Linked DNA regions of Schizosaccharomyces pombe. The gene in region 1 interacts genetically with each later gene. Each region holds a gene or a part of one and is shown on either strand. Other genes may lie near its edges.

Region 1 (7,963 bases):
AAAAACTTGTTGCTTTACCAAACTTGGTACAAAATGCTATGTTTACGATATTTTATTCCAATGCTTTTAGTAGCTAATGCTGCTCCATACTTCTTCTATCCGATCTTTATGCTGTCCATGATTGCTCGGAAATATCCATGGTAAGTTCAACAACCAGTTTGATAAACAAGCCGTCCATTCCATACGAGATTTTGACTAACAGGCTTCAGTCCATATTGCATGATTATACTGGGATTGTTGATTAATACACGCACTCTGTGGAGTGATTCAACCTTTTTTTCATTCAATCGAAATATTTTCGACACAAAAGCATTCCCTACGGAATTAAAAGAAGCCGGCTACAGGTTGGTTCGACTTTCATGGATTCGGTGGCTAGCGGGTAAGGAAAGCATTCACATTCCTTGGTTAGATGCCACTATTAAATTATAATAGTGCAGTCAGTCTTTCACTACAAAATTGAATCGCTTGAGCTTGATTCATAAAAAATAGGTGTGCCTTTTCATATTACCAACTGTCCCTATCTAAAATTTATTTACTTAACATACCGACTAAACAAAAAAAAAACCCTCCTGATTGAAAAGAGGTAAACACGGCACCCAAATTAAGACCCATCCAATGTAAACACTAAATGTGATTAAGGATCGTAAATTTTTTCACAGAAAAATAAATTTCGATTCAACTTCATGCACGTCAACCAATAGCAATGCCATAAATACTCCAGTGCTGCTTATTTATGGGTTCATAGGATGTCCATTTCCTTGAGGCTAATCTCTTGATCAAAATGAATCAGAAGTCAAACCTTTTATGCAAATATTTTATGTATGTCTTTTCTTTCAAGTTCACCTTTTTTTCTTCCCAAGTTTTTTATAAATATCAAAGCCAGAACTTTGGGCGTTAGCTCTTTTCGATCGGCTAGTAATGCGAGCCTTTGAATCATCATCATCATCATCAGTATCAGACTGTTGCTCGTTCAATTCATCGCCTACTTTATTCAATTTTCGCTTTAAATTGTCGTGGTTTTTGCCGCCTTCAATTTTTTCAGCTTCCTTCTTCTTCTGCAACTGTCTTTCAATCTTCTTCTTTAATGCCGGTGGCAGGCTTTTCAATTTCTCATTTTTGGAAGTAACCCAGCTGTTTTCTGACTGGTCTTTTCTACTAGCACCCAACCCTAACCGTGGCGGCCTAGCTTGTAACGGTGGATCGTCATTTTTTTCATCGCTACTGACAGATGTATTTTCGTTTCCCAACCACGAATTGATTAAGTTTTTTGTGATGCTTATGGATGTTTGATATTTATTCAATAACACATCCGCACTCACTTTTTGTTCCATGCTAAAATTGTGTTTTCGTTTGCAGCTTGGCACTTTACAAAGTTGTACTGCACTTAGTGTCTGCAACTTTACGAACTGTAACGCACCCTAAGGCACTGAGCTTTGCAGTTTCTACATTAGATTTTATTTCATTTCAGAAAGGAAAAGAATACAAATTCCTTTGTGACTCTTTGTCATTTTAAAAAATGTTTCCACCTTTTCTTATGAATCAATTTTTTGTACCCCTGTGCAATTTCTAAATAGACTCGAAATATATGCCGAATATACTGACATATAAACATAGAGGTTATATGGTAAACAAAATGAAATGTGTTTATTAAATACAAAAATGAGAAAAAAATCAAAGTGCTAGATGCTTATATAAATGAATTTAGAAAGGAGCAAGATCGTGACAAAACTTCTGCATAGCTTTGCTTCAAACCCCTTTTGATTAGCTCAAGCTACTAATATGCAAAAAATAATGTTACATAAAAATTAAGACGTGAGGGTTTAGACGTTAGATAGTAGATTACCAATTTTTTCAGCAACATTTGTAAGGGAATGGTGGAGCGCAATCTTTTGAGCAGCAGCAATACTTGTTGTCCTTCTCAAAGTTTTTGTCAATTCATAGACACGTTCGATTCTTTCCTCGAGACAAGCCTTTTGAATAAGTTGCAACAAGGCTTTGTCAATGTTAGCTTCTAGTCTAGCAATGCTTATTTTTTCGTCCTCCGTAACATCGCCATCTCCTATGCTATCTTCCAATAAAGTCAAAAATAGTTTATTACGGAGTTGTAGTTCTTCTAAAACAGGAACAGATGTAGAAGCATCCGGATTGTTCGTATTACAAGGAATACGAAAGTCAAATTCTGTAAACATCGGACGAGGGAAATAGGGATATCGAGAGGCTCCTTTTAGCAATATACAGTGAAACTGATTATCGGCAACAGTTACAGGCCAATAAGACTCTTGCCGTGATTTGCGACGCTCCAATTCATTTGTATCTAAAACAGGGATCCACTTGGCTTGTCCTGGTATGCGCCAATGCATTAATACCAACAATACCCCAGTTGAATCGTAGATGTAAGGATCTCCAACATCCGAAAAGAAAACACTCTCTAACGTTCCTTGGGGTGGTAATGCAACCCCATCACCAGTTTGCAACATTTCATCACGAGAAATGTCTTCAATGGAATAAACAAGACGAGAATTTCCATCAGAGCTCAAACCATCGTTGGCGATGGTTATAATCGTATCCTGAAAAGATGAACAAGCTACAAATGGCAAGTGTTTACTCCTGTGAATGCTAATTGGAAAGCCTTGTCTTGAGAATACGCGAACATATCCAGCACTCGTACATACCAGTACAACGCTTGAGCTTAATGAAATTGTCACAGGACTTTCATTCTCCATGGGTAAAGCCATTGCCCATTCAGATTTACGCGACCAATCAACATGTGCTTTATAATAAATAACACCAGGTGAACTTTCCGTTGCAGGCGAAGCATACAAAGCACCTTCATGATCTAAGCATGCCATTTCAAATTTTTGGTCATCAACAAAGTGATATTTTCTATGAGTAGTTTCATCATGAAATTCAACCGTTATAGTGTTGTGTTCTGCATCTTGCTGTACAGTCCAGATAAACCCTACCAAGTTCAAACATAGATATCTTCTATTACCCTGCCATGGTGTACTTCCAGTATGAACGGGTTTATGTATTGAGGCTTGCAGTAAACGTCTTTTACTAGAACCATTCTCTATTGTTGTAGTTCTGTCGATCAACGCCTTCTGCTTTCTTTTCTTTGCAAGGTTTAAGTCGTTTTCATCAACCATATAACTATCACCATCTAGGTCCAAAGATGAATCCAATCCATCATGATTGATAAACTCATTTTCCTCGTTGGCAGAGTTCCCATCCAAATCATTGACGTTCTGACTTTGCTCATCGTCAGAACCAAAAAGATCATCAAGCTCTTTGGAAGTACGGTTTTTACTTTTTGACGAAGTCAAAGGCTTCGTAGGATCATTTTCTTCCTTCAATATTGATTTAGGAATGACATCCGGACATGAATACAAAATTCCCTGATTTGTAGTAAATGATAACACGTTTTCAAATGGCTGCCAGGCGAGTGCCACCACTGTACTATAGGGGAGCTCAACGACTACTTCATGACTTTGTGTATCCCAAATTAAAATGCCTCCTTTTTTAAATGAAGCAGCTATGTACATTCCATTACTGGACCAGGAGATATCTGTTACACCAGAATGATTCTCTTTTGGAAGAAGTTTGTACAATGGAAGCCAGTCATCAGGGGAAATAACTGATACAAAATGGTCGGTACTCGCAACTGCAAATGTCCCGTTTTTAGGATGCCAAGCCGCCTTTGAGCAAATTTCTGATTCTGCCTCTAAAGAGGCAATAGTGTTTGTTAAGAACTTGATGAGTTCACGAGTTTGGGTGTCATAAAAATACAAAATTCCATTGCAACTGGAAACTGCTAAAAAATTTCCGTTCGGGCTATAAGTTACATGTTTATTCGAAGCCTTAGCTGGACGAAGAGAGAAAATTTGTGAAGAATCAGTGGACGAAACCACTTTCACTGCTGTTTCACTATATTTGTTAGGCTGAAAACGACCAAGTAGAGCATTATACACTAAAAAAAACTTACTCACTAGCTATGGCAATCCAATTTCCATCTACTGAATATGCCACATCGCGAATAGGAAGAGTAGTACGCGCCAGCAATGTATGCTCGGTAGGAGAATCGATGGGATATACGCAGACAGTTGCATCTTCTGAACAAGTACAAAAATAATTTTCCTATATAAAAGTCATTAGCTCCAAACTTTTTTGAGGACCACTTACAGCAACTGCAATTCCTGTTATAGGATCTTGATGATTATCAATGGAGTCGGGTTCCTCATCAGAACCAACCTGAAATTTTCGGATTACTTGATTAGAACCGACCGTAAGAAGAAATTTCCCATCACGAGTATACGCTAGACGCGTCAGTCCATCTGTATGGGCATATCTAGGAACTAGCCTATTCCCTGCCATAATAGCTAGAGGAAGAGTTTGTATATGAGATTGGGACTAGTATGGCAATAGCGATACTTTCGTTAGCTAGTTACGCTATTTAATGTAAACAAACATTTAAATAAAAAATCTACCACGAAAGCACTATTGAGAAATTGCAAATGTTTGTCTACAATTTATTTTCATATGCAAGTACGATTGAAAATATGCAATCCATGCTTTTAATCATCTGCTAACAATTAGAAATTAATACTAAAGTAACTTATATGTGAGACTATAGGAATAATTTAACTTTAATCATTTCAGAGCTTTTTTTAATTACTCTGAAGTTGTATTTGATGTTCCATTAGAGCAGTTCTGTTAAAAAGTTTTGAAATGTCTGCTATAAATGTTCAAACAGCCGCACAGCAATATTCTAAATGGAGGAAAAATATGCAATTAGCTATTGTCTTTTAGTATTTTAATTAATGCTTACCATGACAAGCTATAAAACAGAATCTGCAGATAAGTCATGCTTGATTAAACCACAAAAAATCAACGACATGGAAATGGAATTGAGAAACCTAGTGGAGCCTCTCACAGGAAAATTAAAAAGAAGTTAAATAAATTAATCATACAATTAGATTTCGATCATTCATTTAATACTCGCAGTAATTATATGTATGTATTTTTTCAAAAAGTAATATGAAAATCGTTTTTGCACATCGTTAAAGTTTTATTCTGTATTAGAGTGATACACTATAAATGTTAACGCTGCTTTAACGACGCACAAAATACAGGCTATTGGCATACTCTAGGTTGTGAAATCTTTGCTTTTTTGTAGTTACGTCTGCCAAACAATTTACCATTCCAAGCAAGATTGGTAATCTGCTTGATCATGTCACAGTATGCTGTAGAACTGTGTGAGATTCTCGTAGAGGAATTTTTCGGTGATTGTTGCTCGGTAAGGATTCAATTGTATTTCTAAATCTGAAGTTGAGGTTGCAAAGTCTTTTGTATTAACCAATTTATTGTCAATTTAGGCAGTAGCTAGTGCACTTTTGAGGCATGGTCGTTTAACGATTCCCATGCTACAAAAACGGACTTCGTTGCCAGGACCAAAAATTCGACAAGCACTTGTCAGTTTAATGCAGCATCATATGGTTTTGTACGTTACGGTCATTGAAAATGTACGTGAAGTCACATATTATGAGACCCAATGGAAGGAAATTTATAACATTCTTCGCAAAGGTAAAGATGTATATTTGATATCTCAAAAATTAAACCAGGAGGCTGCCTCTGTGGTAAAATATCTTAGTACCCAAGGACGTGCACGTGTACTCGAAGTATTCAATGCTTTCGATAAAAAGGTTGATGGGAGTGATGAAGAAAGCCGTATGATGCAGAAAAATCTAACGGAATTGATTTACCAAAAGTTTTTGCTAGTAGTGCAACCGAGACATTTAATACCAGTAGGAGATCAGGAAATGCAACTCCGGATCAAGCACTTAGATCGCAGAAAGTCAGAAAACGTGTCTGAAATAAAAAAAAATAGAGAGGTTGATGATTCTGTCGCCTTGGAAATGTTAGAGCTTCGTGCAGCAGATATGTCAGAACTACAAGGACTTACCAGGAAGCCAAAGGAATCAATACCACATCCAACAAAAAGAAGGAAACGTGCTGTTGGCTCTGCTCCGTCTGTATCAACGGATTTGAATAATATATTAGACGATGATAATAGCATCCTTGTACCTGATCTATCCGCGCATGTTCGCATAAATTCAGGAAAACTTTCTGTCCTCTCAAAAAATGCCAGGCTTACCCATTGGGTGGAAAGAAGAATTGGTAAATCAACTTCGCTTGTCTATTCTCACGTTCTTTCTATGTTGGAACCCAGATTATTTAGTATTTCCAATCAATCTCCGGTCTTTACACTCACGACAATGGAGCTTACGAGAAACTTTCCGAATGATATCGACGTTGAGAGTTCGATTGTCGATAAACAGTATAGCGTAAATTCTGCCTCTAACGAATTGCGTGTCATGGAAAAGTTGAATGAACTAGATGAACTTGCTGAGGAAGATAATTATGAAGAAAGTGTTGATGAAAACGCAAATCGCAAGAGCAAGGTGCTGGCTCAACACCTGGAGCTTTTGGCAGATTGCTCATTAAAATTTATTTCAAAAATAGGCAATCGAGGAATGGGTGAATGGGCGGTCAATTTTACCCATTTAACCGACATGCTGCGAGCCATAGAATATGAAAATTTTATAGAACAAAAATTTGGGGAAAGAGCTATTCGTTTACTGCGTATCATAAAAGATAAGGGAAAAATTGAGGAAAAGCAGTTGGCGAATATTGCTCTCCTTCGTCAAAGAGATTTACGAACCGTTCTTCAAGCTATGGCAGAAATCGGAGCCTTAGAGTTACAAGAGGTTCCGCGTAGTTCCGACAGGGCCCCTTCCAAGACTTTTTTTCTTTGGTTTCACCGTCCTGATCGGGCGTACTCTCTCCTTTTGGATGAACTTTATCATGTAATTGCCAGACTATATATGCGATTACGAGATGCACGAGCTCAGAGAGCTCAACTCATTGAGAAGGCAGAACGAATAGATATTAAAGGCAACGAGGAACAATATCTACAAAAGTTTGAGCAAGCTGAGCTAAAAAAGTTGTATAGTTACGAGGAAAAACTGCTTTTACAAGCTTCTCGGTTAGATGATATGGTATTAGTATTTAGGGATAATTTATAAAAATGGTTTCTTCGGCACTTCTTTTGCTTCACCTAACTAAACACATTTTTACTTATGTAAATAATCATCGATGTAAAATTTACTTTTCTTAAATAGATCGTTGGCTTTATTATTTCTACCTGCTTGTTTCAAAATTTTTATTCAATTGTCTATAATGCATTAAATATAAAGTATGCTAGTTCTTAAAAATAAACGACTAAATATTGTAATTGATTTAACGAAATAAATCATATGAATGAGCATCAAACGGAAAGAAAGGTGAGATAAATTAAATACAAAGATAACAAATATATGTGCAATGATATAGACCAGCTATTAACAATGCGCATGTAGACTTTTTACCTTCAAGCGGCAGTGGTTGTTGCACTAGTATGGATTGTCTTCCATGTTCCAGCTCCATTAAGTGCTGGATTGGCAGTTGCTTTTATAGGGAGACTGCGCTTTTTATAGGCGTTCGCAGATGGCATAACAACCGAAAATCCGTCAATAGTTGTCCAGGCAAATCCTGCAGGGACTGAATAGGACGAAAGGGCTGAGACATACCAAAGTCCAGCTGTATCAACGTTTGCATTGAAATCATTGCTTGGGGTATCAGTTGTGACACTAGAGTCTGCCGTTGTAGCTGCAGAAGAACTTGATGAAGCGGTAGCGGAAGAAGTAACTGTGGACGAACCTGATGCTGCATCTGAAGATAATGTTGCTGCGGATGCGGCGGCAGCAATTGTAGAAGACGCGGTGCCTTCTACAGAGGATGTAGAAGAAACAGCTGTCACAGAAGACGTTGGAGAACCGGTTACAGAAGCGGTAGCTATAGAAGATGATAAAGAACCGGTTATAGAAGCAGTAGCCACAGAAGATGTTGAAGAATCAGTTGCAGACGC
Region 2 (7,753 bases), on another chromosome or scaffold:
GCGGACTCATTTTCGTAGGTTACAAATCCAAACCCACGAGGCCGTCCCGTATCTTTATCCATCATCAAAGTGGCATCAAGAACGCGGCCAAATTGGTTGAAAAAATTGCGAAACTCTTCCTCTGTACAGTCGCCAGGAACTCCTCCAACAAACATCTTTGCAGTTTTTTCCTGTTCTTCACGGGGTATAGCACGTTTAGGATCGATCTGATTATTTATTAGTATCTCCTATTCGAAAGTTTTTTAACATACAATTTTACCATCCAGATGATGTTCTTTAGACATCACCTCATTAACACACTTGGGATTTTTAAAAGTTAGAAAGCCAAATCCCCTAGAACGGCCAGTAGTACTATCACGCATAACCGTACAATCGAGGACCTCTCCGAACTGCTCGAAATAATCACGAAGGGAATCTGTAAATCAAACATTAGCATTAAACCAATAAATTTACTCCTAATAGTCTAAATAGCATATATGTACTTAGCACCTGACAACAGAAAGAATAAAGCTTAACGGAAAATGGACGTCGTAATTTACTGAAAAAATTTATATCTAAAACAAGACCATTTTTCCTCAAGCGTATACCGTTCTGGTCGATGGTGTCCCAAACACATAATGTTAAGGTACAATAGGCAAAACAAACAAATCAAAAACTACACTTCCAGCTAACAAATTTCTGATCGACAAAATTTATGCATGCAAAGATAGTTTAAGATGGCGGAAAATTAACATACCATCGGTAGTCTCCCAATTTAAACCACCAATAAACATTTTACTAAAATATCTGGTTAGAATTGAACTACTGGAATTTCCTAAGAAGCTACAGGATATAGTACAATTAACATACCCGTCCTCTCGATTAAAGGGACTAGTTTCCTCTGCATTATCTTCATTTGATTCCATAGCACCGGAACCGGTCAGGGCCGACTGATTTTCATTATAGTTATCATTTTTAGAATTTTCACCGTCCTCGGCATTGTCCCAAGTTGCGGAACTCAAGGCTTGTCCTCTAATATCATACGAAGAAGGATCAGGCGCTTGCTGAGACGTTTCATTTAAATCGTCTTCTTGATTGGCTTCCGCTTCAGCACTGTATTGTTGGTCCGATCCCGAACGGTCAAAATCAGCTCCGGGTTCTTCTCGAAAAGGGTTTTCTTTTGTACGTTCAGCACCCGCTTCTCCCGATTTTTCGAGTTCTTCATAGCCCTCGTTTTCTTTTGTCGGCGTCACATTAGACGTTTCTTGATTTCCTGAAGCTGACTCCACTTTTTTTTCATTTTCCTCACCACTAATTAATCGATAATTAGTACTATAAAAATACATTTCGAAAACTTACTATAGATCCTTAAAAAGCTCGTCATCTTCAAAATCAGAGCCGCCCATCGTGAATTATTTAAAATAAGATATGAATGGTGGTTAAAAGATGGAAACAGTATGGGGTTGTACGTGATACATTCTACCAAAGCGGAGCGTAATACGCTAAATCCTGCACAATTCAGTGAACACTGTTAAGAATAATGGAAAAAGAAACGACAAAGACAAAAAAAGGAGTCGATCCAAATTTACAAGTTTTGCTCTGTTCTTTTGAATATAAATGATTTGTTGATATTATTGCTTGTAACTCAATAACTAAATATGAAAATTTTTACATAATTATATAATCTTACAGCTATACCGGAAGGCTTCATAATTCAGCAATTGTAACGATAGATCAGGCGGAATACGTATACAAAGACAAGGCACTTCCATATTTTGAGTTCCTTAAAACAGCACTTCTGCGAAAGACTAGGAAGCTTAAAATAATTATCCATCACAATATCAGCAATTCCCTGCATAAAAAAAACGCTCAAGTTTTTTCACTAAAACACAAAATGCGACATTAGGTGGATTTTTAAACGTAAAATACCCAGCAGTTGATCAAAAGACTTAGACGATTGACGTTTAGCCGTCAAAAGATGTTCTTTTAAAAATGACCAAAAAGATGGATTGCCAGGGGGTATTAAAAAAAGATCGACCCGGGGTAATTTTTTGCACCAATTGAATTGGGGTAAACACAAGGTCACTCGAACAGACGAACAAAAGAAACATTAAAATTTAAAAATATAAAAATATTGGTATAAAATACAAATTAATGAACCATGGAAGAACGCAAAATTCATTCCCTCATTGTGGGGCTAAAATATTCGCACACAGAATCCCTCAAGTTTCTAACCAACTGTTATGGTCTTCGTAGATAATTGCAGCTTTTTGAGAATGCTCAGAGATGAATATCATTTCCGGCATTGCTAACAAGTCTTGTGTTGTGGGTCGACAATCCACGTACGGATGCGTCATACGCTGAAGCAAACACTGTAATGATTCAGCACACCTCACCTTGTTTATTTGAACCTTTTCTTTCGACAAAAGGAGGTCTTTAAGATTTGGCAAATTTGAGTAATCTCCAGACCTTAGTCGTTGCCATTCAACACCATTTTCTGGCAGGACTACATTTGTTGCGGCTTCAATCATACTGAGGCCTAGTGAATATACATCGGCTGGTTTCCCATAATTATGCGAAGCTAATATTTCGGGAGCTATATAGACTCTGTCGCCTTCGAGATCAACCATCGAGGAGACCGGTAAACTAGTTGCTAGTCCGAAGTCTCCCAACTTTAAGTTACCATCACGAGTTATAAGAACGTTGGAAGGCTTAACGTCTAAATGAACAAATTCTAAAAGATGAATGAAATTTAATGCCTATGTTCGGTTAGTGAATTCAAATGACGTGTCTGTGGAACGCGACTTTTAAATATGTAATAACTTACTTGAGTTAGTTGAAACAACATTTTCCACACGCGAAAAGGATCCATGACCTGCAATAATCCCAATTCGCTTAAAAATAAACTTAGGTCTCCGTTTTCACAATAATCTAATTGCAAAAATATATTATCATTGTAGCTCCAAACGTTCACTAGATTTACTACAAATGGACATGCTTGCAAGCGTTGCAAAATAGATACTTCCTGTAAGTGACGCTCTTTTCCTGTAAACTTGGCTGCATTTTTTTTTAACATTTTTACAACGTAAACCGTTTCAGTAGGTGGGTTGATCGAAGACACATGATATACAAATGAAAAATCACTCTCGTGTATCGGCTTAACTTGTTGGAATCGAATTCGAAGATCACTAGTCCAATCTTCCTCTTCTTCGTAATCATCTGCGCTGTTGATGTTTAAAAAAATTGGACTGGTAGGTGTCCAACTTAATGAAGAAGGTACGTCTTTCTCATCCCAGTTATTAACGTGGGAACTTGAAAGGAAAATAGGCTGACTCTTGCAAGGCGTTTCGCAAAATTCCAACAAGTCCTCTGAACCATAAGACAAAGAAGGAAGTTCTTCCATTTCAAACGTTTCATCCGAGCTGTCAGAGTTTGGATGATCCAACCGACTAAAAGTATCTAGGTCGATATGTTTACATTTGCGAGCTAAAAGAGAGGTAGTGGGTGACAGCGGAGATTGAGGTGGTTTTAATTTTATTTTCGTTCCCTTTTTACAAGGTGTATGAGGTTGTTCACTTCTTGGATTAGTCAAATTCCCTTCCCATAATGACCACTTTTCACGTTTTGATAACAGTCCTGTGCTTAAAGAAGTCACCGCCCTTTTTCGTTTTAAATCAATTGGCGTTGAAGCATCCACAATTTTTTTGGATAACTTCAAGCCGCTCGAAAATGCAAATGGTTTGCTACACCCATCGAGATCTGAATTCTTAAAAATTCCGTGGCGAACTGTAGTGGATAATCTGATGGCTTTTGCATTATTTTGCATAGGGGTATGTGGACTTCTTTTTGTATTGGAAGGTTTAAAGAATGTCAGTTTTGATGACTTATGGCTCTGATTTTCTTCATGGCCAGACGAAAAATTGTAAATGGGTTCATCGTAGAAATTTAATGGAGAATGCTCATTAAACGAAGAGGATATATTAAAAAAACATGGTGTTCGCGTTGGAGTAATTGGGATGGTGGTTGATGAATCCATCTTTAACTGAAACCTGAATGTAAATAAAGTTATATTTTTTTGCTTATTAGCTGTTAAAATCCCGTTTTCACTTTGATATCTCCGGTTTTCCTAAATAATAAATAATATGCAGATGATAATGTAGTTCAACTCTTCCAACAAAAGGAAAATCACAAAGGATTTATTTCCTTTTGTAGAGAATTAAATAACACTACTATTCTTTTCAGCTTTTAAGGGCTTTTCTATAGCAATGTGTTGTGCGCAAAGGATAACTTTGAAAGTAAACAACCATTGTTGACATGCACGTACACAAACAACACATCTTAAAGTTACGCGTAATATTAAAATGTGTTACGACGCGTCATGACGCGTTCGCGTTTTTCATTTGGGATAACGCGACGCGGCTTCGTTCTTTTGCCTTAAACCAACCACTAATTAAAAAAAAAAGAATTTGCAAACATGGCTGAGCGATTATCCGTGGGTGCACTTCGTATAATCAAGTAAGTTAACTGTCCAAATTATATACTCAAAAGATTTCGACAAATTGGGATGTTAACACGTTTCTTTAGTACATCCGATGCTTCGTCTTTTCCTCCTAATCCAATTCTCCAAGTCTTAACCGTGAAGGAGCTAAACTCAAATCCAACTTCTGGTGCTCCTAAAAGATATCGTGTTGTCCTTTCCGATTCAATCAATTATGCGCAATCTATGTTAAGCACCCAGCTGAACCATTTGGTTGCCGAAAATAAACTTCAAAAAGGAGCGTTCGTACAGCTTACCCAATTCACTGTAAACGTTATGAAAGAAAGAAAAATTTTGATTGTTCTTGGTTTGAATGTTTTAACTGAACTTGGCGTAATGGATAAAATTGGTAATCCCGCTGGTTTAGAAACAGTTGACGCTTTACGGCAGCAGCAAAATGAGCAAAACAATGCTAGCGCACCACGAACAGGTATTTCGACAAGCACTAACTCATTTTATGGAAACAATGCTGCAGCTACAGCACCGGCTCCACCTCCCATGATGAAGAAGCCAGCAGCGCCGAATAGCCTTAGCACAATAATCTACCCAATTGAAGGTCTCTCTCCATATCAGAATAAATGGACTATTCGTGCCCGTGTTACTAACAAATCTGAGGTTAAACATTGGCATAATCAACGAGGTGAAGGAAAGCTTTTTAGCGTAAATTTACTCGATGAAAGTGGGGAGATTCGTGCAACAGGCTTTAATGACCAGGTTGATGCTTTTTATGATATCTTACAGGAAGGTTCGGTTTATTATATATCTCGTTGTCGTGTGAACATTGCAAAAAAACAATATACCAATGTTCAAAACGAGTATGAGCTGATGTTTGAACGTGATACTGAAATAAGGAAAGCTGAGGATCAAACTGCCGTCCCCGTTGCGAAGTTTAGTTTTGTTTCTCTACAAGAAGTCGGCGATGTTGCCAAAGATGCTGTTATCGATGTAATTGGTGTACTCCAAAACGTTGGACCAGTTCAACAAATTACCAGTCGTGCAACTTCTCGTGGATTTGACAAGCGTGATATCACTATCGTTGACCAAACAGGATATGAAATGCGTGTTACGCTTTGGGGAAAGACAGCTATTGAATTCTCTGTTTCTGAAGAAAGTATTCTCGCTTTCAAAGGAGTTAAAGTTAATGACTTTCAAGGACGCTCTTTGTCAATGTTAACTAGCAGCACCATGTCGGTAGATCCAGATATCCAGGAATCTCATTTGTTAAAAGGTTGGTATGATGGACAGGGTAGAGGGCAGGAATTTGCCAAACATAGCGTAATTTCATCTACTTTATCTACTACTGGAAGGAGTGCTGAACGTAAAAATATTGCTGAGGTTCAAGCCGAACATCTGGGAATGTCAGAAACACCCGATTATTTTAGCTTAAAGGGCACCATTGTTTACATTCGAAAGAAAAACGTGTCATATCCTGCTTGCCCTGCTGCTGATTGCAACAAAAAGGTTTTTGATCAAGGTGGCTCCTGGCGATGTGAGAAATGTAATAAAGAATATGATGCTCCTCAATACCGTTATATTATAACTATTGCTGTAGGTGATCATACGGGACAACTCTGGCTCAACGTCTTTGACGACGTCGGTAAATTAATCATGCATAAAACGGCAGACGAATTGAATGATCTACAAGAAAACGACGAAAATGCCTTTATGAATTGTATGGCAGAAGCTTGCTATATGCCATATATCTTTCAATGTCGTGCTAAGCAAGACAATTTTAAAGGTGAAATGCGAGTACGCTATACAGTGATGTCAATTAATCAAATGGACTGGAAGGAAGAGTCTAAAAGATTGATAAATTTCATTGAGTCTGCTCAATAAAACATTGTGTTTTACGTCTCGCTGGTCGAGTAATTGAGTTTTTGGCTTAAATCGCGAAAACTACGATTTATGATTTTGCATACATTGATTACAAAGTGACTCCTTTCCTTATGATTTGGTACTTCACTTACATTTAACTAGATTTAAAGTAATTATATATGATCTGAATTTTTGGAGTAATTAGTTCTGTTGCTTACATATTAAAGTTCCTTGATGGGTAATTTACGCTATAATGGCTTGATTGAAATCACCGCTAAAAGAATGCAATGATATCTTTTAATATGAAGTAAAATATACAGTAAACTTATCAATTGTTTTAGAATTGAAACTGTTGAAGAAATAAATTACCAGATTGTTTTGAAGTAAATACGAGTCTACGAAAATGCAATCCTATTTTAACAGGAATATGAACCATGATTTTTTTAAATTTACTTTATAAATAAACAACTTTAATAAGGAAGCGATTTAGATACCAATAACAGCAGGTTACATTCTTTAATTGAGTAATAATAATATAACTGAGCAAAAAGACTGTTTTGCGACAAATTTTGTTAATTACATACAAAATCTTAAAATACAACATTTCTTTGATTAAATCGTACAAATTTATCTTTAAAGATCCTTAATTAGCTCCCCACATTCTAAATGGAATGGAGTAAACTATTTAATCCGTCTCGCAACAACCTTCAGTAAAACCTTGACAACGAGAGATTTAAAAAAGATTAAGCGCTGGTTTTAGTTTTTGTAAAGTCAATGGGGATGCTAAAGAAATGATAGAGTAACGGATATGTTCGAAAAAAGTTCTGAAGCCATGATCTTTTGTAGATCAGATCAGTCTTATCGTATCTCCAAAAAACGTAGATTATAAGTATCTTTCTTGTAAAATTATTGTTATCATTATGATAGAAATCTTTATAATTTCAAAGATCGTCTGTTTTTTGATAGTATATTAATTCCGTTATCCGCTAATATTAATCATTTCATTAGCACCTAACCGCCAACGGTTTCCTTTAGCCTGACGATACACTATTTTGTTAATAAGCCATTGTGACATTTTATAGCAAGCAAACTATCGTCATTATTATTCAATTATTGTAATCCAAAACGGAAACATACAAAGTTAGACTGTCTACTTAACTACAAATTGGGAGTTCCGAAATTCACTGTGATTTAATTTTATAAATGGCTGAAAACAACGTCTACGGCCATGAAATGAAAAAGCATTTTATGCTTGATCCCGATTACGTGAATGTAAATAACGGAAGTTGTGGAACAGAATCTCTTGCTGTTTACAATAAACATGTCCAACTTTTAAAGGAAGCTCAGAGCAAGCCAGATTTTATGTGCAATGCCTATATGCCGATGTACATGGAGGCTACTCGAAATGAAGTTGCCAAGCTG
Region 3 (7,400 bases), on another chromosome or scaffold:
TTTAACATGTAGTGTCTCATCAAATATGGATGTGGCAAGATTTGCTTCAACTAAAATATGCAATATCGAAAACATAGTTTTCCTTCTGGAATTTCGAGACACAGGATTGTTATTGTGCTTTTCAAAAAAGTGCCGAGAGATTGCGAGTAAGTAGTTGAAGTAAAGTCATCATACTGAAGAGAAAAACCATAGATATGTTTTATTAAAACATCCAATTAGTCGTCAAATCATCAGTTATTCAGCATATGTTGAAAAGTAGGCATAGAGTCGGGCGAAGCAACGAAAATTCGTAAGGATGTGAAAATAAATTTTAATTATATTTTCCCAAGAAATATGTAATTTTCTCTTTCTGCTTTCGTCTTTTTTTTTTTATTTCAGCTATATGCTACTAAACAATTTTTGTAACGAAAAGACTTCGCTTCGGTAACTTTACACTTTATTGCTAATGTGCATTTGCTCAAATCACACTTCCAGCAATTGTACTACATTGTCACATATAATGAAGTTTTTTTTTAAGAAGATGAACCATTAATTTAAATACAAGACGAATTCATAAATTTTTTTATCTTTTTTTTTTTTATGTGTGAAAATTGCTACTCCGGCGGGTTCAGTCGGCTTTTCTAAATGCCTTAAAATAAAAATAAAAGTGCACTTATAATTGTTATGATTATTTAATAATACAATATCCCGCCAAAAAAAATAAGAAAAAAATAAAAATAAAATAAATTTAATAATAAGCTAATATTCACATTGATGTTGCTATAAAGGATTTACCAAAATTTCCACGGATAATAAGTTTGTTTTCGCCGTCAAATGACTATATTGAGATTTGAACTTAACTCACGTATTTGACCTATATACGATACCCTTCTTTAAAATTTTGTTTGTATAAAGTTTTTACAAATGTTCATTACAACGACTCTTGCTAAGAAAGTAATAGCTTTTGTAATGTCAAGTGTAAATATCACACACATAAAACTTAACTTCCACTAAATTCATTTAATTATGACACTAACTTGAAAGTATTCATTTGTGATATGGAAATGGGGCCTTTTATTAATTTATTTTTGCTTTTCATCAATAAATGTGATCAATTAACGACTCATGTTAATTTTCAAACTACATCCGAACGCCATCCAAATATAGTTTCTAAAATTTAAACCTATATTTTCAAGCTTTAAAAATCATTACAAAGCAGCTTTCATAAGTCTTTGGCTCTCCTAAATATCCCATTCTTTAACTCACTGCAAGAGGTAATAATTTCTTAGACTACACTAAACCAATTTGCGCTTAATAGCGAGCCTTAAAATAAAAAATCAGTGTAGAGGTTGAAGAATATTCAGGAATCTCAATAAAAATAAAAAAAATAAGGATCATAGAATTATTTAAATTATCCCAAATTCATCAAATTGTAATGCTGTCCTTTTAGGAAATTCTGGTTTGCCCTGGATGACGACTGCATGCCAACAGGCCATAAGGAGCAACAAAGGAAGAGACAAACTTGCGCTTCTCCATACAAGAGGTTGAATTGAGGAAACTGGAAGTTGGCCTTATCAAGTTATTTCTAAGAGATATTTGAAGTTTAAGGATTAAATATTTATAGACACCAAAAAAACCCCGAATTAATACGAGCTGAAAAGATGACTTCACGTTCGCCGTTTTCGACAATCCCGCTTTCTATGAACCAGGATTCATATCAAACAAGGACTACTGTGGGTATCAGAAAAAAGACATTTTCAGAGCGAGCATGTCAGTTTATGGAGCAAGCTGAAACGTTCATGGCACCATTTACTCCGTATATGCCGCTCTTGGGTCGATTCCTAATTGTCGCTACTTATTTCGAAGACGCTATTCGGATCGTTACTCAATGGCCTGAACAAGTATCTTATATGCGGGACTACCGCAGATTTCGTTTTGGGACTGCTCCGTTGCTGCTGTTTGTTTGTGTTGTACTGATGTTGGTTGGTTCGACATTGGTCGTGTTTAAAAAGCGTCAGGCATATGCCATCGGCTCTCTTTTGTTTGTTACACTTTTACAAGCGTTTGCATATGGGCTCATCACCAGTGGTGAAATGTTCTTTCGTAACATGAGCGTGATCGGTGGATTATGCCTTGTTGCCAGTGACACCTTTATTCATCGTCGTATCAATAGATTTGCAGGTTTACCGGCCGTCTCCGAACACAATAAACGTACTTATTTCCAACTAGCTGGGCGTGTTCTTTTGATCTTTATGTTTTTGGGTCTTTTGGCTAAGGAAGGAAGTGGGATTTCTTGGACTCGAATTCTAGTTCATATTTTGTCTGTTACAGCCTGTGCCATGGTGGTCATTGGTTTTAAGGCTAAATTCTTCGCTGCAGTCCTCGTTCTTATTCTATCTGTTGCCAATTTCATTATCAACAGCTTCTGGTCGGTTCCTCGTGAAAGTCCCTATCGTGACTTTTATCGTTACGACTTTTTCCAAACCTTGTCTATTGTTGGTGGTCTCCTATATCTCGTCAACACTGGACCGGGCAAGTTTTCCGTTGATGAAAAGAAAAAGATTTATTAAGCCAAAATACTGCGTGTTTCTTAAAAAAAAATGAAAATGTTGTTTTATTTTTTAATTTTTTTATGATTTGATTTAATTTGTCAACCTTGTCCTTTTATATCATAAAATCCTTATTTTACAGGTACTTTTCTTTCACAGGATCTTGCCTATTTGTACATTCCTTTGTTTACTTTGGCTCCATTCTTGTATTAGAGTTGAAATTACACTTTCTTCTATCTATGAGTGGGATCGAATTTAGGATATTATCCTATCACATTAATTTTTTTATGTCAAAGAAGTGAGCCTCATCATACTCATGTTTGCTCCTACTGATTCATGATTAGATGATTCTATTTACGTTTACAAAACCAAAAAGATGGGTAATCGTCGCGTATGGTCCGTATTTTCTGGAACAATTTTTTAATAGTATTGCTCTTTTCTAAAATAAATACTCGTTTTTTGCTCGTTTTCCTTACGCATGAACATTTAGTAGTTCTTGGCGTTTACATTCCTCTGTTTTTATTTTATCGCTTGGTCTCAGTTATTATCAAAAATGGGTTCTGGTATTTTGAACGGCCATTAACTTTACAATTGTAAAGGGTTGGTGTTTGATTTTGTTTGATCGTCCTATATTACATTTGACAAATAATTCAGCTATTTGTACACTTTAATAGGCACATTTATAAGCGTATCAAATTGTTGTTACAAAATGTGTTTTTGAAATTGTTTATGAACACATGATATTTGTAAAGTAAAGTGTATTTGACATTAGCCATGTAAAATTGTAATCCTTTATAAACATACTATATATTAACTTTAATGCAGTGTGTCTTTTGTTAATTACTAGTAAAAATCATCATATCTATCATTAATTTATGTTGTACATTATGTGTTCAAGTTTATTTGTAAACGATCGGACACTGTTCGAAGGAGTTTTAAATATAAACTTGGAATCTACATGTCCTAAAAGATGATCGTAAATGACCTGAGAAGGTTTATACGGGTTGTCACAAACAGCAAAATACAAACAATTTTGTACTGGACATGACCAAATACCAGTCTGTAAATCCGGACTAACTTTTAAAGCCTCAACTTTCTCCAAGTTATATGAATATAATCCAGTGTCTTGTTTAAAATCTGTTTCCTTTTTGGATAAGCAGGAAGATGCGGAAGCTAAATCGAGCAGTTTTGTAGGTCTATACGGTAAAGTCGACCTCGTTGACCTATTACAAGGGAATAAATTTGTTCGATCCAGCCATACCTGATCGCATAAATTTGGAGTTGATGAATATACTTTGGGATATTTGTTGCGAAGTAATTTCAATAATTCATCATAGAAGCTGAATGCAGGCCAATAACCAAAAGAAATAGAAAAAAGTTTAACAAAGTCAGGAAGAACTGTAACAAAATTTTTTTCAAAAATTTCCTCCGTAAAACTGAAAGCGACAGCTGAGTGATTAATGTATTGTTCATATGTATAATCTGAGCCAGAAAGGCCTGATCCAATATCAAATAACAAGAAATGAAATAATATCTTGGCCGCCAATTGAGCATTTGAGAAATCTAGTTTCATGCATATTAGAGTCCTCAAGAGATGTAGACTTGTTTTTTCTCCATTGTTACAATGCATGAATAAATAATCATAACAATATCCACGGAATTGAGATCGTGCTTGTTGAACAGAAGATCTAAAACCAATTGCGTGCTTAATATCATTAAAAAGCTTAGTACCTCTCCACGTGAAAGCAGTATGCATAATTTGCAAAAGGGTTTCGCCGTGGGAAGAAAGTTTATTCAAAGCTTCCAAATTTGTTATTTGTAGCTGTTGAGCAATAACGCTGCAAACTTCTTGAAGGCTAATATAACGTTGATGCTTCGGAGAGGTTGAAACTTGTATTCTTTTCCATAATGATATCGATTCAATATTTGGATCAACAATCCTTAAACCGGAAAGCCAAATATCATTCAAAGGAAACCGTAATGGAGAAGTTCTTTTTACAACTCCTAGTTGTGGTGTTGCTGTGGGAGAGGAAATGCTAAACGGTTGCTCGGGTAAATTAATTAAAGTAAGAGCTTGGTTTAAAGAGCTTTTCATAGTAGTATTATTGTCCGATGGATTGTTTGACGATAACTTTGATTTCTTTCGCTCTTGACGAGCATTGTAAATGTTTTTATTAATTTGTAAAATCAGATGTTCGTATGAAGATCGAATTCTTATAAAAAAAGGTGATTCAGACCATACATGTAATGAAGAAGTCGCAACCATTTGGGTTAACAGAAAGCGAATATGTTTTTGCACTAAGAGAATTGCTTGAAAACAAGAAGGAAGCTCTAGCTTTTCCTTTAAAACTTCGATATAATTATCGTAATCTTCTAACGTACCAGATATCATATCATCTTTGAATTTTGTCTTAATAAGGTAAAACAATCGATTCTTCTCGCTGATCTGTTCGTAAATGGCTTTATACTCAGAAGAAGGAGACAAAATTCCGTATCTTCTTTGAGGTGTAACGATCCATATGCTCATAGTTTCTTTCTCAGGAACGTCTTTTAGATTGTATGTCCAAACAGGCGATATTTTTATCGAGTATCCCAGAACAATGCTCTCATCAAACAATGGTTCTTGCTCATCCTTTTCAGAAGATAAAATTCCTGTTAATGAATAAGGGCCATATTCTAGAACGTCCTCTAAATCTACTAATTCCCCTGCTTTATTTGTAACGCAAACTTGTTCAATCAAATCAGTTTTCCGCTTTTTTTCAGCACGTACGGGCGGCATCGCTAGCTTTTTCCTTTTCCCCAAAAACAATACTCTTCGAAGTAATATTGCCTATTACTATAGACGGCATATTTTTGAGGTAAACATTGGTGTTAAATTTCTGATCTCTGCTTCTGAAATTTAAGAGAAGGGTATCCATTGTACTGCACAAATATATAATTAACGTCTAGTGCGTTATACTTACGATACGTTAACAATCACTATACCTATAATTGTGTTTTACCAACATTTCTTTCGGCCGTGAACATACGTTGCTTCTAAAGTACTTATTCTTTAATTAGAAAAATATTGATGAAGTTTGATTTGTACTCCTCAGCTGATTGTAAACTATTTTAGTGCACATATAATACTATACGATATCTCTTAATATTTTGATATATTTATTATTGTATAGAAAACAGAATTTTATTTAACATTATTTTTTATATTAGGAAAACCCACCGCAGTTCTAAAGTATCATTAAGTGTTTTAATGATTGCATAGCTGACACAATGCGTAATTTAATGACAGATACGGTGTATTATTATGTGGATCTTTAGAGTAGAATAATTGTAAGCTACGCAGTTTGGTATCTGATTTAAGGATACGTAGAACTGCGGTGAGTTTTCCTTGTGATCTATTATATTACAATACGCAGGTTGTATAAGTAGCAACTGAGTATAGGTATTGTATTAACTGGGTTATAATGTTACCTATCACTAATATAGCTCATAACTGAACCTCGTTCCTCAGTTCAGTTGTAACGCTATTTATAATATTTCTAAATAGTTGTTATCAACGGGTATCTACGTATATAGACGGATAGTTACCCGTGATTATCAATAAACGGATCTTAGCTAGTATTCCAACATATGACATATAGTGATACGCAACGTAGTGTATCATAGCGTAGTGTAGTATTGCTGACAATAATGAATTTAAGTAGTTTCACTATACGCCTCATTATACTGTAAGCTAGAGCAAAGTAAGAAACTTGCCAAGAACCAAAGCGGGTCTCTGCGAAAGGTAAACTAATAAAAATCGGACAAATTGGAGGAATTGAAGGGGAATTAAGGAAAAATATTAATTTAATAGAGATAAACTTATGAATTTATGCAGAACGCACCAAAGTGTTACCTGCCGAATTCACGTAAAGGCAGAGACGTGAATTTTCATGATCGAGGTCCTGAAACGTTAAAATGCTTGTACGATGAATCAGAAGATAACAATAATTTTACTATGCATTCTGAATCCATAGGTCCTAAGTCATTAGACAGTTTATCGCCTAGAAGGCTAAGTAACTATTCATCTGCTGTAGACCCTCGAACTACGAGCTTGGAAGATGTCCCTCGCTTAATTTTAACAAGAAGTAATTCACAAGAACAAACCCCTTTGAGAACACACACCCCTGTTGAATATATGAGTGATTCAATTCACAAGAGTCTAGCTGACTTGCAATTAGGTGGTTCCTCTTATTCAGTTGCTGAATCACCAGTACCGGTGCTGCAGTCTTCAGCCGTTTCTGAAGCTGATGATATGGCAAGTGCTCATTCTGCTCATCCGTCTCGAAAGGCAAGCAGGTCATTACGTCTCTTTGAGTCTTCTACCTCCAATAACTTAGAAACCGGTAACAGTACTAATACTGCTTTGCACAACGTGTCGAGTCCTCTTGAATCTGTTTCTGAAAGGCTCTCCAAATCTGGATCACCAAGTGTTGGTGCTCAGCATGATTTAGATGAAGTTATTTCCGAAAAAGATACATCACTAAGTCGAAGATCATCTCGTGGTCGGAGCTCAGCTCCTAAACGAAGAAAAGATAGTGGTAGTTCTAAAACCACAGCCACCTACATACCACATAATCCTTCTAAAAAGTCATCTCAACACCTCCCTTTACTACCTGATGCTTCGTTTGAGCTTGAAAGGTCGGTATCCCGTTCTTATCAAAGTCCTGCATCCACCCCGCGATCATCTGTATCATCTGTCTCATCATCTCCTCCTGAAGACCATCCTTTTTTCCATTGGAATGTTGATTATCCGGTTACTGTACGATTGGAACCCTTCAAACATCAAGTCGGTGGACATACGGCTTTCTTCCGGTTTTCTAAAAGAGCCGT
Region 4 (7,878 bases), on another chromosome or scaffold:
AAAATGTTTAAAAAGAGTCATTGGCGCTATTTTTGGATTAACCCGCATTGTGAAATGCTGTGCTGGTCTAAAACAAATCCATTTATTGAAAAAGGAAGGAAAAATCAAGTCAAGTCTGTGAAAATTAAGGGAATGACTATTATAAAAGCCCCAGATGCCTTAAAGAACGCCAATTTACATAATGAAGTTATTGTGATGCAGACAACTGATAAGCCCATCGTCTTAAAAGCGAAAAGCAAGAAAATTCACAATATCTGGGTTCAAGCTATCAAACAAATAAATCATAAGGCTATCTTTGATACTAAGCCCGGCATTTAAGCATGTTTCAGTCATTGCTTATAAGTTTTAAAGTAAACTGTTTCAATATTCCCTAACAACTTTTAAAGTTATACCAATTGTTTTTATTAAGCGGCATCAAATAGAAAGATATTAAACCACTGTAAACAACTAAGAATCAAATGTCTTAATCAGTTTTGTAAATGAGGTTTATACGATCAAGCTTTATTGCAATTCGACATGCACTAATGAGGATGATATACTTTCCTATTTTGTCGAAAAAATTGCTCTTTCTATACAATTCATTTTTAATCAATCAATTTATCATACGAGACATTTAAATAGCAAACAAAAGACGACTAACGTTTAAAGGTAACATCGATAATGTTAGTTTTATCAAAACAAATTATCCCGTATAAGCAAAAGAAGATTCAGACTTAACCTTGACGGAGTTTTATGTGCAAAGAATTAAACATTGCTATTACTGGTAAACATAACAAATCTGGGCGACTTTCAATTACTGAATGAATAATAAGCAACCTGTTAAATGATTTTAGTGCCCAGATGCACTTTCCGTGTATTACCCCAAGAACTTTTAGCGAAAGTTAAAAAGAGCACAATATATCTGGCTAGTTATTTTACTGCATCGTTACATCATGTTAAAACTATTAGAGCTTACCATACAAAAACTGAAAACGTCACATAATTAACTCGGTACTACTAATTAGGTAAACCGTGCTTTTGCTCATTCCCTGTGGTGTGTCTCTTCGATTCAATTTTGTAGATTGTTTTCATTTTCCTTATTCCTTTCTTTTTTTAAGAGGGGTTTGACAGATACACAGCATTTCCAATTCTAAAAATTACTCATTTTAACAATTGCCATTGCTTTTATTCAAAGGATCAGCTAATTAAGTTCCTTTTTCAATAAGGGAGAAGGATATATTGGATTCTTGATTCCCAACGGTTAAAGAAATCATCGTCAGCATTTTTATTTTGTAAGAAATGACTGTTTTTGTTGTTTTTGGAGGGCATGGAAAGGTGGCCTTGCTTTTTACTAAAATTGCTACAGAAGCTGGCCATATAGTTTACAATGTTGTACGTGATTATGTTCAGAATGAAGACATTGAAAAAGTGCATGGCAGAACTTCTGTCTGTTCACTTGAGAAGGCGACGCCTAATGATATTGCTCAGTTTTTAGCTGAAATACACCCTGATGTTGTTATATTTGCAGCCGGTGCAGGAGGTAAAGGCGGCCCTGAACGAACAAGAGCCGTCGATTATGAAGGTGCTATAAAAGTTTATGATGCTATGAGGATAGCTGGTATTCGACGCTTAATTATGATATCTGCGATAGATAATCGTGATATGAGCCAACCTCCTCCTCCTTACTATACGGCTGCTGATATAGAGCTAAGTGAGAAAATACATCAGTCAATTGGAACTTATTACCATTACAAGTACCTAGCGGATCAGGAATTAGTGCGACGCTCTAGTGATATTGATTGGACGATTTTACGTCCTTCTGGTATGACAGACGAGAAGGGTTCTGGAAAAGTTGCATTGGGTAAGATATCCATAAATTGTATGATGTCTCGTGAAAACGTCGCGCGTACTGTACTACTGTTCGCTCTTGATAATCAGTCCATCCATTTGGTGGTTGACATGACGGATGGAAATGTGCCAATATATAAAGCCATTGCTGGATTCGTCGTAAAAGGAGAATCATCCTATACTTATTCAGTATAATGTAATGACATTTTCGGATCCTTCGCGTATTATTGTAGTCCACGCATCTTTTACTCCTTTCTTAAAATCTTCTGAAAAAAGAACGAAAATTTTTCAATGACCTATGAAGCGTACGCAAATTAATAAATATTTAAGTGAGGGATACTTTAGTTATACCCTTTATAGTTGAAATAAATGGAAGATCATATCAGGTAGTGTAAACATTGTGTTATCGTTTATTAACTTTGGCATAAGCAGCTTAGTTATAACATACGGCTAGTAAATCTAATTTCTGACCTAGAGATTACTACACTCTTTGAAAACAAAATATATTAGTTTAAAATGTTAAAAGTAAATGCATTTTATTGAAGTTAACCAAAACGTGAACAAGCAACTTTAAATAAAATAATAGCCGTACATCAAGCACAAACAATTCGAACTGGTGCTAACATCTAATAAAGAAAATACAGAAATATTAAGCATAATCTAGTTCAATTGTCATTTGTTGCCTCATTATGGAATTCCAAACTCGCCGAATTTATACAATGGCGTTCGTCAGTAGGATTAGAATAACCTTCTCCTTTAAAAATATGGCCTAAATGACCACCACAGTTGGCACAAACTGCTTCTACACGATGCATTCCATAAGAGTTGTCTTCAATGCGTTTCACCTTTCCAGGTAAATTATCGAAAAACGCAGGCCATCCACAATGGCTTTCAAACTTTGTGCTAGCTTTATAAAGAAGCTCTTTACATGCAGCGCAAACAAAAACGCCCTGTTTAGGGAACTGATGAGTGAATCGTCCTGCACCTGGGTGCTCAGTACCCTTTTGTCTCATAATTCGATACTTCTCAGGACCTAGCTCCTTTTTCCATTCATCTTCGCTTTTTTCCAATGGAAATCCCATCTTTGTATTATTTTTGACGTTTTGGACAGGGTAGGAGACGTTATATGCACGTTTCAAAAGATTCGTAAACTTCGTATTTCCACAGATTGAAAAGTGTGTAGTAATCACTTTTTTCATGAAAACACAAGACGATATGTACCACAACTGGCACTACAAAAATTTTCAAGTAAGTAAACGACTTTTTGACCACTATTTATGTGAATAGGTAGGTACCAAGTAAAAACTGCTTAGTAAGTATAAAACACAGAAGAATCCGCGATCTAGTGAACCAATGCCCTGCGTATGACGCTCCACTGACGCTATAGTCAATGAGAACTAGGATGTGCGATTATAACTTATCTTTTCAATATTTTCTTATTATTTATTTAAGAAATAATTGAATTAAAACTCATTTCTTCTTTTATTAGCCGTAAAATAGCTTATTTTCTCTCCTACTACCTTTCAACAATAACTTTTTTTTTTGTTTATTGACCATTATAATCACATCAAAAGTCAAAAAATTCAATCATTATCAGAAACATCCAGCCTAATATTACTTAAAAGTTAGTTTCCTCTGAAAATTCAGTATCACAAAAGCTCGTTAATTAGCATCGCTCGATACTTAGTGCACCATGCATCTTCCTTTACCTCGTGAGTGGAAATCGATTTGATAATCGATTGCCACTTTTCGCATAATTCTATTGAGATATTTTATTACTTACAATCGTCTTTTATAAATGCTCAAGACTTTGAACGCGCGTGTTGCGTTTTAAAAAGGCCTTTTTTTGAATTGAATCAATGGTTTGATATAGTATGAGCCAACACGCAAAAAGGAAAGCTGGGTCACTCGATCTTTCACCCAGAGGCTTAGATGACAGACAGGCTTTCGGACAGCTTTTGAAAGAAGTATTAGCATTAGACAAAGAACATGAGTTAGGTAGAAGTAATTCTTTACCATCTATGACCTCCGAGCTTGTTGAAGTTTTAATTGAAGTTGGTCTTCTAGCTTTTAAACATGATGATTCAAAATCTGAATTTATCTCTCCTAAGATGCTAAAAGAAGCCCATCTCTCTCTACAAGCGTTAATGCTAATCTTAAAAAGGTCTCCGACAGTTTTGCGGGAGATTAAATCATCTGTTACTCTTTTGGATTGGATTTTACCCAGGACTATATCATTGTTTGCTGATATTCGTTTTATTAAGTTATTTGACTCATTAAAAGAGTTTCATAAGCTAATTTATCAGCTAATCAGTGAAAAGTCATTCCTATGGGACTTATATGCTTCGTTTATGCGTTATTGGAAATATTATATTACAAACGTTTCTTCTATAGTTCTCCAAATCACTAATGCTACATTCCCTTACAAGATGCCCTCACCCAATTCTCAACCATTGCAGAGTATCACCCCAAATTATCCAACCCATCGAGAGGACAAATTTGATTTACTTATCATTAATATAGAGGAGGCTTGTACATTTTTCTTTGAAAGTGCCCATTTTTTTGCACAATGCTCATATTTAAAGAAATCCAATTTTCCTAGTCCACCTCTCTTTACAGCGTGGACTTGGATCAAGCCATGTTTTTTTAATTTTGTTATTTTATTAAAACGAATCAGCATCGGAGACTCACAGCTCTTTCTACATTTGCATTCACGTATAGTCCAAACTTTATGCTGTTTTTCCTTGAATTTTATATATCATGGCCTTCCCATTTGTGAAAAATCTAAACATATTTTAATGTCCTCCATCAACTTAACATTGGGATCATTGAAGAAAACTTATACAGTTGCTAATACTGCTATATCTCTTTTTTTTCTCTCTTTATTTGTTTTACCCAAAACTGTAGCTGGTCTATTCTATCCTTTTGGGGTTTCCTTACTTTCTGACTTCAAGGTATTAGAGCAACTTGAACCAGATTCTGATCTCAAAAAGGCAATAATATTATTTAAGTGCAGATACCAAAGTTCAGAAATAGATCAAACAACTCTCCGTGCTTTTGGCGAAATTTGTACTGGTAAACTTGAAAACACGTTGTTTTCTAACTCTGAATTAAACCTTTTTCTTTTACATTATCTTTCCTTGGACAATGACTTGTCAAATATTCTTAAAGTGGATTTCCAGAATGGTCATAACATATGTACATTTGCAAAATGGTGTATAAACAACAACTTAGATGAACCGTCTAATTTAAAGCACTTTCGTGAAATGTTAGATTATTATAGCTCTCATAATGTTACAATAAGTGAGGACGACCTGAAGAACTTCTCTTTAGTTTTGTGTACTCATGTTGCAAAGGTGAATGAGAAAACAAATAGTATTTTCCGCACATATGAAGTACATGGTTGTGAAGTTTGTAACTCATTTTGTTTACTATTTGATGAGCGGTCGCTCTTTAAAATTCCTTATCACGAATTGTTTTGTGCATTGCTAAAAAATCCCGACATAATTTCCTCTTCTGTTAAACAATCATTGTTGCTTGATGGCTTTTTTCGGTGGAGCCAGCATTGCTCAAACTTTAATAAAGAATCAATGTTAAGTTTAAGAGAATTTATTATGAAAGCATTAGCCAGTACTTCAAGATGTTTACGTGTTGTTGCTGCAAAAGTTTTGCCCATTTTCATTAAGGGACCTAATAATCTTGATATAGTTGAATTTCACAAGGAAAGTAAAGCCTTGATTTTTAATACGTTGAAAATATTGGCGGTGGAAAATACAGCTATTTTAGAAACGGTCATTCTTTCCTGGATCTCCTTATCTAGAGTGGTAGAAGAAGAAGAATTACATTTTGTACTATTGGAAGTTATATCTTCTGTGATAAACAGCGGAATATTTTATCAAGGCATTGGTCTCAGCGCTCTGCAACAAATTGCCTCGACGCGTCATATATCCGTTTGGCAATTACTTTCTCCATATTGGCCAACAGTGTCCGTTGCGATTGTCCAAGGTATGGGTAAAAAACCGAACATAGCCAGTTTATTTGCTCAGCTTATGAATATTTCCGAGGGCGATTTTCTTATTCGAACACAGGCGTACACTTTACCATTCCTTGTACTTACTAAAAACAAAGCGTTAATAGTACGTATAGCTGAACTTTCACAAAGTGATGTTGCTACTTTGTGCCTTACCAATATGCATAAAATCCTTGCTTCGCTACTTACTACGGATCATCCTAATTTGGAAGAGAGTGTGATGCTTCTTCTTTCACTGGCCACTTCTGATTTTGAAAAAGTTGATTTAACGTCTTTGTTACGCTCTGATCCTATTTCTATTACTGTGGAGTTGTTACAGCTTTATCAGAATGATGTTCCTCATGAAAAAATTGAAAATGCTTTAAGAAAGGTAGCAATGATTGTCTCTCAAGTGGTTAATGACGAAGACTTGAGCAATAAGGAATTACTTTATGATTTTTTTAATAATCACATTTTGGGTATCTTAGCAGAATTTTCTAATATCCTTAACGACCTGAAAGGAAAGACTTCAATTAATGAAAAGATTAAGACAATTGTCGGCATTGAAAAAATGTTATCTTTATGTGGAGGTGCAGTCAAACTTGGATTACCACAGATACTTTCTAATTTACAAAGTGCTTTTCAAAATGAGCACTTAAGGTTTTATGCAATCAAAGCTTGGTTCAGTTTGATATTAGCAACCAAGGAGCCCGAGTATAGTTCAATTGCTGGTTTAAGTCTTGTAATTTTACCTCCTTTATTCCCTTATTTAGAACCACAAGAAGCAGAGCTAGTAATTCAAATATTTGATTTTATTTCTTCTGACACACACAAGTGCCTACAAGGATTAAAGTGGGCTATCCCCACCAGTCTGGATTCAGCGTGCTTTAGCCTTAAGGCTAAAGAAATATTCTGTTCGCTTCAAAATGAAGATTTTTACTCTGAGCTTCAAAGTATAATTAAGTGTTTAACTAACGAAAATGAGCCAGTTTGTTATTTAGGTTTACAAAAATTAGAACTTTTTTTTCAAGCCAAGGTGGACGAGTTACATGACACACTAAATTTGGACATATCCAACGAAGTTCTGGACCAATTACTAAGATGCCTTTTAGATTGTTGTGTAAAATATGCTTCAACAAATATGCAAATATCATATCTTGCTGCAAAAAATCTTGGTGAATTGGGTGCGATAGATCCCAGCCGCGCCAAGGCTCAACATATTATTAAAGAAACAGTTGTTCTTGATAACTTTGAAAACGGAGAAGAAAGTTTGAAGTTTATTCTAGATTTTATGCAATCGCAGTTAATTCCAGCTTTCCTTGTTACTACTGATACTAAAGCACAAGGTTTTCTTGCCTATGCTCTGCAAGAGTTTCTAAAGCTTGGTGGATTCAAGTCCGCAGTGATTAATAAAAAAAAGGGACTAACTGTGGTAACAGAACATTGGATGTCTTTGCCTGATTTATCCAAACGTGTGCTTATACCATTTTTAACTTCCAAGTATCATTTAACACCAATCCCCAAAATTGACATTCGGTACCCTATTTATAAAGAAAATGTTACTATTCATACTTGGATGCAGTTGTTTTCTCTTAAATTGATGGAGTACGCCCATTCGCAAAACGCTGAAAAAATATTTGGTATTTGTTCGAAAGTAGTGAAAGACCAAGAGGTTAACATTCCCTGTTTTCTTCTTCCCTTTCTTGTTTTAAATGTTATTTTAACCGAGTCAGAACTGGAAGTTAATAAAGTCATTGAAGAATTCCAGCTTGTTATTAATCAACCGGGACCTGATGGATTAAATTCCGTGGGGCAACAAAGATACACCTCATTTGTAGATGTATTTTTTAAGATTGTGGATTACCTTAACAAATGGCTTCGCATGCGAAAGAAGAGGAATTGGGATAGACGTTCTGCCATTGCAAGGAAAGAGAACCGTTATATGTCGGTGGAAGATGCTACCTCTCGAGAATCATCGATCTCAAAAGTTGAGTCATTTCTTTCTCGATTTCCTTCAAAAACATTAGGTATTGTCTCTTTAA

The links.
Region 2: mutations in mcl1 (region 1) and mik1 impair growth when combined (synthetic growth defect), as found in Schizosaccharomyces pombe (2 studies listed by BioGRID, with this or other methods).
Region 3: mutations in mcl1 (region 1) and raf2 together harm fitness more than expected from each alone (negative genetic interaction), as found in Schizosaccharomyces pombe (2 studies listed by BioGRID).
Region 4: mutations in mcl1 (region 1) and rad3 are lethal when combined (synthetic lethality), as found in Schizosaccharomyces pombe (3 studies listed by BioGRID, with this or other methods).

Annotation. Positions count from the first base shown.
Region 1 is NC_003424.3:3,281,375-3,289,337, forward strand, and holds mcl1 (DNA polymerase alpha accessory factor Mcl1), read right to left. Parts: upstream 4,379-7,963; 5' UTR 4,372-4,378; coding exon 4,180-4,371; exon of another isoform or gene 4,135-4,179; coding exon 3,983-4,134; exon of another isoform or gene 3,925-3,982; coding exon 1,821-3,924; 3' UTR 1,630-1,820; downstream 1-1,629. Other genes in the region: SPOM_SPAC652.01 (BC10 family protein ), read left to right, coding at 34-140, 210-429; SPOM_SPAPB1E7.01C (uncharacterized protein), read right to left, coding at 840-1,331; DNA-directed RNA polymerase III complex subunit Rpc82, read left to right, coding at 5,228-5,293, 5,373-7,082; cts2 (chitinase), read right to left, coding at 7,427-7,963. UniProt on the Schizosaccharomyces pombe protein: Has a role in regulating DNA replication complexes. Acts as a regulator of post DNA replication initiation. Associates with chromatin during G1 and S phases of mitosis. Required for the transcriptional repression of the outer repeats of the centromeric region.
Region 2 is NC_003423.3:217,961-225,713, reverse strand, and holds mik1 (M phase inhibitor protein kinase Mik1), read right to left. Parts: upstream 4,417-7,753; 5' UTR 4,016-4,416; coding exon 2,807-4,015; exon of another isoform or gene 2,739-2,806; coding exon 2,202-2,738; 3' UTR 1,597-2,201; downstream 1-1,596. Other genes in the region: msi2 (cleavage factor complex subunit), read right to left, coding at 1-206, 252-415, 737-777, 850-1,290, 1,339-1,385; DNA replication factor A subunit Ssb1, read left to right, coding at 4,454-4,494, 4,564-6,352; ergothioneine biosynthesis methyltransferase Egt2, read left to right, coding at 7,535-7,753. UniProt on the Schizosaccharomyces pombe protein: Protein kinase that acts both on serines and on tyrosines. It acts as a negative regulator of entry into mitosis (G2 to M transition). Phosphorylates and inhibits cdc2.
Region 3 is NC_003421.2:498,766-506,165, reverse strand, and holds raf2 (CLRC ubiquitin ligase complex subunit Raf2), read right to left. Parts: upstream 5,402-7,400; 5' UTR 5,308-5,401; coding exon 3,397-5,307; 3' UTR 3,286-3,396; downstream 1-3,285. Other genes in the region: erv29 (cargo receptor protein), read left to right, coding at 1,641-2,549; kcs1 (inositol polyphosphate kinase), read left to right, coding at 6,400-7,400. UniProt on the Schizosaccharomyces pombe protein: Component of the Clr4 methyltransferase complex (ClrC) which contributes to the establishment of heterochromatin by specifically methylating histone H3 to form H3K9me.
Region 4 is NC_003423.3:900,664-908,541, forward strand, and holds the start of rad3 (ATR checkpoint kinase Rad3), read left to right. Parts: upstream 1-3,520; 5' UTR 3,521-3,701; coding exon 3,702-7,878. Other genes in the region: dynein-anchoring factor Num1, read left to right, coding at 1-318; SPOM_SPBC216.03 (uncharacterized protein), read left to right, coding at 1,279-2,022; peptide-methionine (R)-S-oxide reductase Mxr2, read right to left, coding at 2,493-2,909. UniProt on the Schizosaccharomyces pombe protein: Serine/threonine kinase which activates checkpoint signaling upon genotoxic stresses. Involved in G2 arrest following DNA damage where it phosphorylates chk1.